Linked DNA regions of Caenorhabditis elegans. The protein of the gene in region 1 purifies or fractionates together with the protein of each later gene. This does not show direct contact. Each region holds a gene or a part of one and is shown in the gene's direction. Other genes may lie near its edges.

Region 1 (5,947 bases):
GGTTTTTAATATTTTTCTCTTCATCAAAGCTTTAATTTCAGTGTGCTTTTTACTTTTTTACCCGAAAATACCGATTTTAATGAATGTTTCTTATTAATTTTCTATTAAATTCAGCTTTCATGAAATTGGCAATAAACAAGCCATAAAATATAAAATTTGAACGAGGCGCCATTAACGTCTGTCCAATGGAGCATGGTTGCACACCAGCAAGTTGTCGTCACTGAATTGATTTCTCAATCATTTTTTTGCTGTGAAAATGTTTATTTTTATATATTTTTATCTGATTTTTAATTTTTATTAATAGCAGACTTTAAATTGAAATTATTGAAATATATTCCAGTGATGGAACCAACGTATTACGGCCAGGAAACGGAAAATACTCGACAACGATCGAACAGTAATGCTGGAGGAAGCCCCGATGAACAGAATCCACAATTTGGAATGCAAGCGCAATTGGGAAAGATGGTTTGTTTTTTTAAAATTAATTTAATTTAGAATATAAAACGAAAAAAAATAATTCAAAAAAGTTTCGGTTTCTTGAAAAGAACCTTGATTGCATTAAAGCATTTTTGATTTTCAAAAATTCAGATGTGGGAAGCTGGATCAAAACAGGTTCAAGACACATTTCAATCTTATGGTCGTATCGATTTGTTTCGCCCTTATTTCGATGTCGATCCAGCAGAGGTTTGAAGAAAAATTCACAATTAAGCTTTAAACATGTATTTATAGGTCCGAACTCGTCTTATTCGGTCATTTATCCCACGAAAACCATCGCAAATACAAGTTTCACCGGATTTATATGGCCCGACTATGCTCGTACTCACCATGGTGGCGCTATTGCTGTATAACATGAAAACCAGCGGGTTCGTGTTTATTTTTATCTGTTTTTAGTAAAAAATCAAAATTTCAAATAAAATAAAAATGATTTCAGAATTGTAATTCAAAATGGAACGTTAATGGGTACGGCAATGTTCACATGCTTTGGTAGCTGGATGCTCATTTCTGGAGCACTTTGGATTGCGTGCTTTTTGTTAGCTGCTGAGCAACCATTTTTAACGATATTGTCGAGCTTTGTAAGTTAAAAAAAATAAATAGAACACCAAGAATAATTGTTTTCAGGGCTATTCTCTAACTTCACAATGCCTCGTACTTCTGTTAACCTCGCTTTTTCACTCATCTCATGATCATTTATTCTTCTTCGTGCTCCTCGCCAGTTTCTGTGTACCTTCAGCGTTAAGAATGGTTAGCTTAAAATAAAACTGAAAAAATAAATAAAAATTTTGAAATTCAGGGCCTAATAGTGTGCAATCAGTCTCGTCTTCCCGCGAATCGACTTTTACTTATTGGAATCGCAATTGCAGCTCACTTATTGCTGATCATCTATCTCCATTTCGGTTTCCACGTAGTATTAGAAGGTAATAATATTTCTATTAGAAATTTGTGTCTTAAAAATGTAAAAATTCAGAACTCGACGAAATGGTTGGAGATGCCATCGTGGATGTGAATGCTATCAAAGAAACACTTCCAGTCGCATAATTATAGTTATTTTTTTATTTTTAGCCAACGAGATGTATACAAATTGTGATGATTTTCGCTCATTTAACACGGGATATTTAATGATTTTATATTTCTTGATTCTATGGTTGTATTATTTATTGTTTTTTAGTCCTTATTTATTAAAATCTTCTCCGAACATGTATTAAACTGTTTTTTTTGCTAATCTGAAAGGTTGAGAGCCTTGTTCTATATTAATTATATTTTAAGTTTTCAGATTTTCAAGACATTATTTACAGAGTTCCCATGTCAGTTATCAGCGAGCATCAGGTCCAACTCTCGAGCTTCGATCCCATTGAAAATTGTGTGAAATCTACGTGTCCAGGATGCAAATCAAATCGAAAATATTTCTGTTATGATTGTCGAACTCCTATGCCCGGAGTTTTTACGCCAACTGTAAAGCTTCCCTGTGCCGTCGACATCGTCAAGCATCCAATGGAGAAAAATAGTAAAAGCAGTGCTCTTCACTGTAAAATTGTGGCTCCTGATCAAACTCGAGTCTTTGATTATCCAAATGTTCATGATTATTCACAAGATTCTGAAGATGAACGGCAAGGAACTGCAATCATTTTTCCGAGTAAATCTGCAATTTCTGTTGAGGAATTTGTAAAAACAAGAGGACCGATCAAACGAATTGTTGTATTAGATTGCACGTGGTTTCAAGTTGGTGTTATGCAGAAGACACCTCAAATTCAAGGTATATACTAATTAAAATCTTAAATCGTAATAATAATAATCAGATTTTTAAGGACTCCAACACGTATCTCTTCAATCATACCGTACTGCATTCTGGCGGCCTCAACACAACGTTCCCGAAACGGGTCTCGCCACGATCGAAGCAATTTATTATTCGCTTAGAGAATATCAAGAATTGGGTCTCGGACGGAAATATAGTGGAGAATTCGATGATCTTCTTTATTGGTTTTTCCATACAAAACATTTTGTCGATGGGAAACAGGCTGATTATTTGAGGCGGAAAGATGAAGAGAGAAGCGAAGAAAAATAATATTAAATGCTTTTCTAAATTTATTTAAAAAATTTTTCAGTTTTTGTTTTTTCATTGTTGAATATTTGAATTTTGACTTGTTAGAAATCTCAGTTGTTGTTTGTTACTTTACACTCAATTCTTTCTCCTCTGCGATTTTCCTCGATTTGCATGACCGGTTTCCCAAATTTTTCCACACATGTGAAAGAATAAAAAAGAAAATGTTTCCCTTCCGTCGTATTTTTCTATTTTTAATCGTTTAATCCACTTGTTTTAAAAACAATCGAACATACTTTTGACGAGTCTTTCAGATTATTGATTTTTTCAAAGAGAATTCCAGTTATGTTGAAGCCGTTGTTCGGAAAAGCGGACAAAACACCCGCCGACGTGGTGAAGAATCTGCGGGATGCATTGCTGGTTATTGATCGAGTGAGATTCTTTTTTTAAATATCATTTTTATTTATTTTAAATTTTCCAGCATGGAACCAACACAAGTGAGCGGAAAGTCGAAAAAGCTATCGAAGAAACAGCGAAAATGTTGGCATTGGCAAAAACGTTCATTTACGGATCAGACGCAAACGAGCCGAACAATGAGCAAGTGACCCAGTTGGCTCAGGAAGTTTATAACGCAAATGTGCTCCCGATGCTCATTAAACATTTGCACAAATTTGAATTCGAATGTAAGAAGGATGTGGCATCGGTATGTGGATTCTAAAAATCAAAAATTATATAACGCAGTCACGAAATGTTGCAACTTTCGCACCAAAAATACGGTACGCGGTCTTGGCACGATACGTTTTTGCGAAATGTAAAAATTTAACAAGTTTCGATGAAAATATACTTATAATTATTTTTAAAAAAATTAAAAACACTCAAATTCGTGATAAAAACTAGATATGAAAATTTCGCAGCAACAAAAGTTTGAAAATACAGTACTCCTTAAAGGCACACACCCCTCTGCATTAAAAACAATTGAATTCGTCATGTCGAGACCGAGTACCGTATATTGGCGTCTGGTTGATATCAAGCTCTGAAAATTTTATATTTTTTAAATGAATAAATGATAATTTTAGGTGTTCAATAATTTGCTCCGTCGTCAAATTGGAACAAGATCACCAACTGTGGAATACTTGGCTGCAAGACCAGAAATTCTCATCACTCTTCTTCTTGGGTTAGTTCAAAGTCTAAAAGTTATCCAAAAAAAAAAAATTCTCTAGATACGAGCAACCAGATATTGCCCTGACATGCGGTTCGATGCTCCGTGAAGCTGTCCGCCATGAGCATCTTGCTCGAATTGTTCTCTATTCTGAATATTTCCAACGGTTCTTCGTTTTTGTTCAATCTGACGTTTTCGATATCGCCACTGATGCATTTTCTACATTCAAAGATTTGATGACAAAACATAAGAATATGTGTGCAGAGTATTTGGATAATAATTACGATCGATTTTTCGGTGAGAACTTTTGATATATTAAATAAAAAATTATGTTATTACAGGCCAATACTCGGCGCTCACAAACTCAGAAAACTACGTGACCCGACGCCAATCGCTGAAACTGCTCGGCGAGCTTCTCCTCGATCGACATAATTTCAGCACAATGAACAAATATATCACAAGTCCAGAGAATCTGAAAACAGTGATGGAATTGTTGAGAGACAAGAGACGGAATATCCAGTACGAGGCTTTCCACGTTTTTAAGGTATTTCTTTTGATATTTCAGATAAATATTTGGATTGAAAATAAAACAAGTTATTGTATGTGAATCAAACATCTTGAAAAATGGTTGAAGATGAAAAAAAGTCTTAAATTGAATTTTAAGAAGAATAAGTTTATTAATTTTACATCTTTACGTTTTATTCCAAGAAATTTAAGAAAATTTCCAAAAAAAATCTATAAAACCCCATAATTTCAGATCTTCGTCGCGAATCCAAACAAGCCACGTCCAATCACTGATATTTTGACAAGAAATCGTGATAAACTCGTAGAATTTCTCACTGCATTTCACAATGATCGAACTAACGACGAGCAATTCAATGACGAAAAGGCGTATCTCATCAAGCAGATACAAGAACTTCGTGTCTGATTACGGAATGTGACAAAAAATATTTTATTTAATTCTCACAATCCATATGTTTTTATTCCAATGTTTTATTTCTTTGTGAGTGGCTTTGTGTAGTGCATCCTTATCCTTATCAATATTCAAAAAAAAACCACAATTATCATTTGTGAAATTTTCGGGGGTTACTGTAGCTATAATATTAAGATACAGTAGTACCTCCCCGCCCTCCAATCGCCAAAAATTTTGTTCCATCCACACCTCGCTTTAGGCATCGATCTTTACCGTCTTTCTCTGCAAACAAAATATAATCGTTCCTTTAAAAGAATCCCCCATATTAAAATCATGTACGAATACAAAAATATCCATCCCCTTTCCGTCTGTTTTCCCTCTTATTTTACGGTTTTTCACATGTTAAGTTAAGGTTTATTTCCTTCTTCATCAAAGAATTTGATTTTCTCGCTCTATCCATGATCATTGTCTTTTTTTTTTGTTTTATGATATTTCAAACGATTTCTTGATTCTATTTTTATGACTTCAAATGTCAGAAACATCGATTTTTTAGCATGAAAATTTTCAAATCAAAGACGCTATAACAGTTCTCTTCTCATTCGACATCCTCTTCACATGCTTTTCGATAATTGATTTTCCCATTTTTTGATCTATAGTTCGGAGGCACTCAATCGCCTGGTCACGGACTTTGGGATGGGGAGAGCAGAATAACATCTTCAAGAAAGTTGACTTAAATACAAAATTTATTTTAAAATTTACCCCAAGCATCACGGGAATCAATAAATCCATCGACTTGCTCAGATCATCATTATTTGAATTTTCCGCAAGAATTTCCTGAATCTGAACGAGTGTTCTTGCTGGATTTTGAACAGAAGTCGGCTGAAAATTGACACATTTGCAAAAATTGAAAAATTCGCTTTTTGAAATCGCGCTCCAATGCCAAATAGAAACGCTCCGCCCTCAGGCGTTGGGTCTCGTTAGGTACGGCGGCAAAACTGAATTCAAACGTTTTGCTTGAAGACGGGTGAAATCAGGAAAAAATAATTGAAAAAGTTTGAATGTACGGATTTGCCGTGAATACCTCACGAGACCCAACATTTGGGGGCGGAGTGTGTCCAACTGGCCGTGGAGCGCGATTCAATAAACGCATTTTTATGCGTCTCTATAATAAGACGAGAACGGTACGGTAGATTGAAAAGTTTGACTCGTGCAAAGACCATCTTTCTGCGAAAAGTAGCAAAACTTACTTTATCAGCTTTTGCAACGATTTGTTCGTTTTTCTCCTTCTTTTTCCCACTTGGTTTCGATTTTTTGTGATTCTTCATTTTTTCACGAAGCA
Region 2 (8,178 bases), on another chromosome or scaffold:
CTTTATTTTCTATATCAATATCACAAAATCCAGCAGGTTTTCTTTTTGAATTTATTGGAACGCTATCATCATCTGGTTTAAATTCATTTTCAAAATGATACACGCTGGATTCTTCTAAAAAGAAAACGTTAAGAATAGCTCTTCCAACAATATAATATAATTACCTTGCATTTTTCGAATTGCATAGATGCACCATGCTCCACACAAAAGAAAAATTCCAATCGTGATAAATGTAACGACCAGGCAGAATAACTAAACATAAATATATTTGTAGGTTGCAACAAATTAACTTACTAATTGATCATTTTGATATCTTGAAATTAAAACTTCAACATTATCGAACACTTCAGTAGTATTATTCATTGTCAAAGAGTGAAAATTAAAATTTGAAATGAATTAAAATTGTTATTATCTTTTTTTTGAGAAAAATTACGTGGAGAATTTGATTTTTTTTGAAAAATTTCATGTAAAAATGTAAAAGTTTGTTTTTTGTTATTTCCGCAAGTTTTGGCAGAACATGTTCAAAAAAAATTTGATGTCACTGAAACTTTTCCACATAAATTTACAAAATGACCGGGAAGTGATATTTCCGAATCCACTGATTTTACATCTAGATTTTAAACAATAATGAGGAGACCCTGCCTGTTCGTGAGCTCTAGGCTCGTTCCAAACTTCCCAATTTAAATTTTAAATTTTCAAAGAACTGGACGATATCAGGGATTGTAACGCATGTTTATTTTTGAATTGGTGACATAATACAACAAAAGAACTAGAGATTCATTTTCATTGTAACTTCTGTTGTTGAATTATTTTCTCTAGATGAAGATCACACTCTTGCGAATCTAAAATCAGAATAACATTATTTTTTAACCTAATTGACTTCTCTTACATCAGTCAAGTATTTGACAAATCCTCCCACTTCTTTCACTTCTTCATTTTCAACTTCAACAACTGAAAAATCAGAACCAGCAATTGATCTTGAATTGTCATCGATCACAACTGTTTCATCATCTTTCACATTTCTTGCAGCCAGCAGACACCAGAGTCCACACAGAATTGCAAAGAAAACACCAAAAATAGTGAGTAAAATCATTGTCCACTGTAAATTTTTAAAGGTTTTTTGCATCTAGAATTGAATTCTCGCAAAACTTATATATATATATATATAAGCTTATATCCTTATATCAGTATATCCTTATATCCTTATATCAGCTTATATCAGCTTATATCGTATAGGCCTCCAGGGTATATTTAGCTTTATTCCACTTACAGTATTATAGTCATATTCTTGTATGAGCTTAATGTGAACATTGTTGAGAATAACAGTAGCTGCAGTAGAGGTGACATTAGGCGACATTGTCGAAATTTGAGTCACGGAGATAATATTGCAATTGCCTGATAGATGTTTCGAAATAAACTTTAATTTCTGTTTTTTTTTTCTAAACTAACTTATTAGAGAATAGTTCAAGGGTGTTACGGAAATATTCTTGATTTGATGTTGAACACATTTTGGGAATTTTAAATTATATTTTATTATTGTAGTTATCATTCTTATACAGCTTCAGATTTTGATTCGGAGACACTTTTGTCGTCTTCTTTCAGACGATAGGATGCACACAAGCACCAGAAACCACAGGCAATCAACAAAATAACGACCAGATTTATGAATAGCATATCCAGAAACTGCAAAATTTCAAATTTTCAGGACAGGAAAGTTATAACTATATCATAACGTTAAGTGACTTACTTGAAAATCATAGTATTCATTTTTTATTCTAAAAATGGCATTATTCAACGTTTCATTAGCAGCTGTAGAAGTGTCGTTAGAAGACATTTTCGTTTGGTTGATTGTTTAAACTTCAGAAATGAAAATTTCAATTAACATTTCCAAGCAGAGCTTGACGTAAATAAATATTTGAAGTATTTAGAAAATCTCATAGACACTTTTTATTTTATCGTAATAACACTAAATTTTTACATGTCTTCTTGAAGGCGCACGGATTATTACAGATGGGTCTTGGCGCGCAAAAAGTTTATGGTAGTTTTATTTAATTTCAGAGAATGCTTCACTATTTATTCGCCTTGCATTTTTCAATGAAAGTACTTCGTTTTTAGCAAATTTTGTAGGTTTTTTATTGATTTTCTGTTAAAATTGTTCTAAATCTGTCTTCTACAGTCTTGAAATCATAAACATTTTTTATTTAACTACCATAATTTTTTGCGCCTTTCAGTTGACATTTCAAAATCTAGTGAAATTACGATATATCCTGCGAAAATGGTCTTCGTCTCTTCGTCACTGACCATGATGCACCATCTCTTGAGTTTTCACTGCGTTTCCACTCTCTTAGACGTATCAATAGAGCGACAATGCATTGAGACCCTTCTAATTTTTTGAACAGTTTTTATCGCCGGACTTGTGTTTTGCAAATAAAAACAGAAACGAAGGCTGTTTTACAAATTCAATTAGATGAATTTTCAGACTTTGATTATATTTTAATTCGCCTTTGTTCATTTTCTGTAAATTTCACCACAATTTCGTGTCTACGGAATTAATTTTCGTCAGATCGCGTGTTGCCTCCTTTCAATTATTGTCTCTGTTCGACCACCAGATGTCTTTTTAATTCGATCGTTTGCGCTGTAGCATTGTTCCTTCGTTTTGTGTGTTTTTCACACTTCAATCGATTTTCAATAACCTTCAAAATTATCGTTCCTATTGATTTTTCTCTCTTCTAAATTGCAATAAGGTTATTTTCCAATTTTCAGAATTAGTTATGCCGAGAAGAAGATGAATCGAACGTTTTCCTTGCGCCGAAAAGTCAAAAAGTCGGAAATTTCAACGCCGAGCAATTTCGAACATCGAATACACGCTGGATTCGATGCAAGATCAGGAACTTATACTGGACTGCCAAAAGTACGTTTTTCTCAACTATTTTTTTCTTTAACTTGAAAAAAACTGCATGAAAAAATGTATGAAATTCGTTTTCCGATTTAGTGATTCAAAAAACTTCAGAAAAGTTCACTAAACACTTTTCAGCAATGGCAAGCTCTTCTTGGACCTCCTCGATCAATATCAAGACCGAAGCCAATGGTCGATCCATCTTGCATTACACCGGTAGACGTCGCTGAACTGAAAACTGTAATTCGAGGACCATCTTCAAGGTAACAATTGTTTCTGACAATTTTTTGTAATTTATTTTCAGTTTCAGATACAATTCACCACTCCCCTTTGGTATGACAAACTCTCCAATGCCAAGTGTCGCTAGAAGCAATAGTCTTCGAATATCAGCAACAGCTTCACCTGTTGTTAATGTTTCATCTGCAAGACATTCATTCCGTCCAACGCTTCCACCAGTCAGTCAAAGAGGATATCCATTTAATGATCCAAGTTATGCTCCGTTACCTCTACGCAATCAGAAACCACCAATGTCAACAACATTCGGAGTAGAGAAGCCACATCAGTATCAACAAATAATAACTATTGTTGCACCATCAAGAACAACGACTCCTCAATTACAACCCAAATCTCCTTCAACGCCACAAGCCATGCGTCAACAGCCGAAATGCACTGAAGGTGTCAGCGATGAAGAGGTATGCATTTTCTAATGGGGTTATTCAAGTAATATAGCAAAATGTATTTAAATACATTTGTGACGTCACAAATGTATTTAAATACATGTTTTTGTATACTTGAATACAGTTGTGACGTAATTTTTCTACAATTTTTAATTTTCCGACACTACTTGAATAACCCCATAAAAAAAAACATTTTTTGACAAACGTTTGAGACAATGTTTCACTAAAACTATTGTTTTGACTTTTAAAAAACTAAATTCTATAGAGACTTTCTTCTCAAAAGATAAATGTATCATTTCTAACAATACGAATAAAAACTGCGGAAAATATAAGACAAATATTTTTTCTTGTCAAAAAACAATCATATTTCAGTTTCGAAATGCGCTGAAATTCGTAGTTGACGGCACGGATCCTCGTTCGGATCTCACAGATTACAAACAAATCGGAGAAGGATCAACAGGAGTAGTCGAAGCTGCATACAAGATATCAACAAAACAAATAGTCGCTGTGAAAAGAATGAATCTCCGGAAACAACAACGCCGAGAACTTTTATTCAATGAAGTATCAATACTTCGGCAGTATCAACATCCCAATATTGTTCGATTCTTCTCTTCTCATCTTGTTGATGATGAACTTTGGGTTGTGATGGAGTTCATGGAAGGTGGATCCTTGACAGATATTGTGACTGCAACTCGTATGACTGAGCCACAAATTGCTACCATTTCAAGGCAGGTTCTTGGTGCTCTAGACTTTCTACACGCAAGAAAAGTAATACACAGGTTGGTTTTATTCTTGAAATCACCTTAATAAATGTTATATTCAGAGACATAAAAAGCGACTCAATTCTACTGAAGCGAGACGGAACTGTGAAACTGACGGATTTCGGTTTCTGTGGTCAACTATCTGAAGAAGTTCCTCGTCGTCGTTCGCTTGTTGGTACGCCTTACTGGACAGCTGCAGAAGTTATTGCTCGTGAACCATATGACACTCGTGCTGATATTTGGTCTTTTGGAATAATGCTCATCGAGATGGTAGAAGGAGAACCGCCGTTTTTCAATGATCAGCCGTTTCAAGCAATGAAAAGGATACGAGATGAACATGAAGCAAGATTTAGTAGGCATGCCAAGGTAGGTAGAATAGGATAACGTTAAAAATTCAAGCAGATAAAGAAGAATTAAATGAAAATTTTATTTTAGTATACTCGAAATAGTCCCATATGTTTTAGTACCACAATACAAACGAAGAGAAAATCAAAAAAGATTTTTAAATTAATTGAAAAAATGGTCAACTCTCGAAAACGCAATTTTCAACTTTTGAATAGAATTTCCTCCAAAATCAGAACTACAACCAATCAATGAACTGTCCACTTTTGAGCCAATCAGATGATTTGTGCGAGTGGGTGTGGCTTCTCATTTTGGAGGAAATTCAAACATGAAAGTTAGCGAGATTTGAAAATTCGCGATTTTCAAATTTCAAAATTGTGCGATTGTCATACTTTTGCTATGTGGTATTCGAGAATATGTAGAATTATAGAGTAAAATCCACGTTGACCGTACTCCACCTTTAATTCAATTTTTTCAAAAACTACTAAGTTCTTTCAAAACGCAGTTTATTTGAAATATCTAAAATTATATTTTCCAGGTATCTGTGGAACTCTCTGAATTGCTTTCACATTGCATTGTCAAAGATGTTAATAAACGGTGGCCAGCTAAAGATTTACTTCGTCATCCATTTTTTGCAAAAGCTCAGCATTCTTCATCAATTGCTCCTCTCCTTCTACAGTTACAGGGTAACACGATTAATGGAAATAATCCACCAACTCATCATCACTCATCTCAAATAACTACAGTAATTCAATGATGTTTTTTTTCTCATTTACACCATCTCAACATGCATCATTTCACATTCAGATCAGTATTACCCCTTTCCTTGATTGATTTCACCTTGCTATTATTGTATGTATGTATTGCTTGTATGATGATGATAACTCATTAGAGAGACACCACACTGCCTTTTATGCAACATTTTTCATGTACTTCACCCCTAGAAGAATGTTTCTTTTACGGGTTCATTTTCTCGGTTTCTTCTCCTCTCACAAATTAACATCATTTTAATATTCTTTTTTTTTGTTTTAATAAATCAAAATACAAATATTGGACACGCGTCCGAACAAGAAGAACTCTCAACGAACTTTTGGTTTCGTTTTCTCTTTCATCACTAAAAACAAAGAATCCTGACGCGGCTGCTCTTCTCATCTCGTGTCATCTCGGGAGCCCGTGAAATTTACCAATGTCATCTCGCCTCTCCGGTGGCCTGCCGGCGGCAACTCCGCTTCTCATCTTTTTGTGGATCCGTACTCGTTGCCGCCGCGGTGCTCCGGCACTCCTCATCACAATTATCAGCTCGTCTCAATCAGTATCCCGTGGTCCGTTTGTCTTTCATTCCGGTGCTCTCGTCGTTTTTCGGCATCTCTTGCTCACTTTTTATATCAATTTTATAGCCTCAGGCATTTTTATTTTACTCATTTTCATTGAAAATGGCTTCAAATTGAGAGCAGCAATAAAACAAGGTCAATGCTCTGAAAGTACAATTAGTTCAAACTTCAAATTAATTTCAACTTCAAATAACTTATTTCCCATTTTTCCGAAGCTGTTTTCCGGGCGAGAGATGGGTGAGTTGAAACCCCCATAGAATCCCTATCTACGACAATCAAAACATAGGTCACGTTTATCACGGGCTCCTCGTTTTCAACTATCGTAATTTCGCGAAATTTAGACTTATCAGTTTAAAGGCGCACGCTGTTTTTCCGAGAGGGTCCCGCCATCACCTGAGTTATAGTTATAGCTACAGGTATCAAATTTTAAAGATTTGTTCATTTGATGTAGCACAGGAAGTTTTAAAAATTCCAACTATGAGAAAACCAGAATTTTCATTAAACATTTAGAACGTACTGTCACGTTACCGCCGAAAGACGATATAGGTATTTTTATGGTTCACCTTAAAACTAACTTCCATATAAAACCGACTCCTCGAAATTTTTCTACAAAACTCTGAACAGTACTCACAATTAATTAAAACAAATCTTTTTAAATTTGTAAGATTTCAATTTCAAATGATTTATGTTAGACTCGAACTGTTTTACCTTCACCCAGTTACATCCCTATTAGATACTTAAAATGGTGCACATGCCGCTTATAAACATTTGTGAAATTTTAGATGTGCCTTGTTAATTTTCCCTCGCGTCTTTTCATTTAGAACCTATGCGTTCTGCTCAATTGTTTGTTGTTCAATTTTTTCATAGTATTGTTTGTGGAGTGGCAATAAGTTTGCATCTCTCACATGATTGTTTTTTATCCTCTTATTGTCAAACTTCATGTCAAATGACCCAATTGATATATTCTAGCACTTTAGTTCAATTGATGATTATATCAGTTGACTTGATTTATTAATATCAAATACACCTCTTCTAATAGATAATTTAAATTGGTATTCACTGTAGCTTCATATAACTAAAGCATCGTTGTCATTTACTTTTGACAACTAGTTGATTAGTGAGTGAACATTATCTTTTTTACTGGAGGTATGACATCTTTCATCATCATCTTCTCGTCTCTTTAAAACTCATTGACACTCTCAATTGCTCACTTCGGCCACTTGTCAGTTTCAAATCAAATCAAATTGTTGCAGGAGGATCTGGAGAGAGATAGAGATCAAGACACATCAGAACAAGAAGAAAAAGAGCCAGACGACACAAGATTGGGTAGAAAGCCCAAAGAGCACAAAAAGTGGTCATTGTAGGTGTACTTCCTTTGCTCATTTTCATTCATGTTCGCTGGTGCTTCTTCAACGCTTAGTTTGCGGAACCGGGTGAGTAGTTTTCTTTTGAAAAAGGGGAAATCTGAAAATGTAGCAATACTTGTTAGAGTCTAGAAAATATACACGGGACATATTTAAAACTACCATTTTAGTTCAGTATAACAAATCAGTAGGAACATAACATGATATTACTTGTCATTTTTCAAAAGTTCCGGCTACTTCCACACATTTGAAGAATTTGTAAATTTAGAGCCATGTTTGTTGTAAGTTTTGAGAATTTTTACACATGAAACGAGCGTTATTGTGATTCTTGTTCGTTCTGATTACATATTGACGTCGGACCTCGCAGTGAAAGAGAACTGCTATTTTTATGGCATTGTAAAATGTTTAATGTTTACCCAAAAGTCACATAACCAGAACATTCCTCGACTGTTGTTTTGTATAGGTTTTTGGATTTCTATTGAGGTTCTTAAAATCGTTTCCCGTGTAACTAATTTTTTACGGTTACTACAACAGTACAGGAAAAAGATTTTGATATTCTATTTTGGAACCGTTCTTACTGTTTTCTAGTTGATGCAACACGTTGTAACTTTTTTTGAATCTTCTACTAATCACATCCAAAAATGTTCTGAAAATCTGCAGTGTTTGGTTCTGACTTATTACGAAGTTCAAAAATAGGAAAATGCAAAGGTAACTTCATGCCTTCAACACTCGTATTGATAGCAATTTTCGGAAAGTTTTGAATTCACTCAGCGACGTCATTTGTTTTTTATCAGGCTACTTGTAAAT

What was found.
Region 2: the proteins of Y53C12A.10 (region 1) and pak-2 fractionate together in Caenorhabditis elegans (co-fractionation; one large-scale study listed by BioGRID). This does not show direct contact.

The regions. Positions count from the first base shown.
Region 1 is NC_003280.10:9,700,634-9,706,580, reverse strand, and holds Y53C12A.10 (tRNA-uridine aminocarboxypropyltransferase 1), read left to right. Parts: upstream 1-1,734; 5' UTR 1,735-1,800; coding exon 1,801-2,251; intron 2,252-2,303; coding exon 2,304-2,560; 3' UTR 2,561-2,769; downstream 2,770-5,947. Other genes in the region: Y53C12A.3 (Protein YIPF), read left to right, coding at 343-465, 589-684, 730-863, 932-1,073, 1,120-1,242, 1,292-1,415, 1,466-1,536; mop-25.2 (MO25-like protein 2), read left to right, coding at 2,882-2,968, 3,018-3,239, 3,613-3,710, 3,757-3,992, 4,037-4,239, 4,453-4,623; Y53C12A.7 (HEAT repeat-containing protein), read right to left, coding at 5,173-5,322, 5,368-5,487, 5,856-5,947.
Region 2 is NC_003283.11:11,034,009-11,042,186, reverse strand, and holds pak-2 (Serine/threonine-protein kinase pak-2), read left to right. Parts: upstream 1-2,763; 5' UTR 2,764-2,785; coding exon 2,786-2,911; intron 2,912-3,034; coding exon 3,035-3,159; intron 3,160-3,200; coding exon 3,201-3,588; intron 3,589-3,945; coding exon 3,946-4,352; intron 4,353-4,396; coding exon 4,397-4,700; intron 4,701-5,214; coding exon 5,215-5,433; 3' UTR 5,434-5,725; downstream 5,726-8,178. Other genes in the region: C45B11.5 (uncharacterized protein), read right to left, coding at 1-114, 165-252, 295-363; C45B11.8 (uncharacterized protein), read right to left, coding at 816-842, 890-1,099, 1,271-1,357; C45B11.9 (Ac108), read right to left, coding at 1,552-1,683, 1,748-1,834. UniProt on the Caenorhabditis elegans protein: Serine/threonine-protein kinase which plays a redundant role with pak-1 in embryogenesis but, in contrast to pak-1, is not involved in commissural axon guidance of ventral cord motoneurons or in distal tip cell (DTC) migration.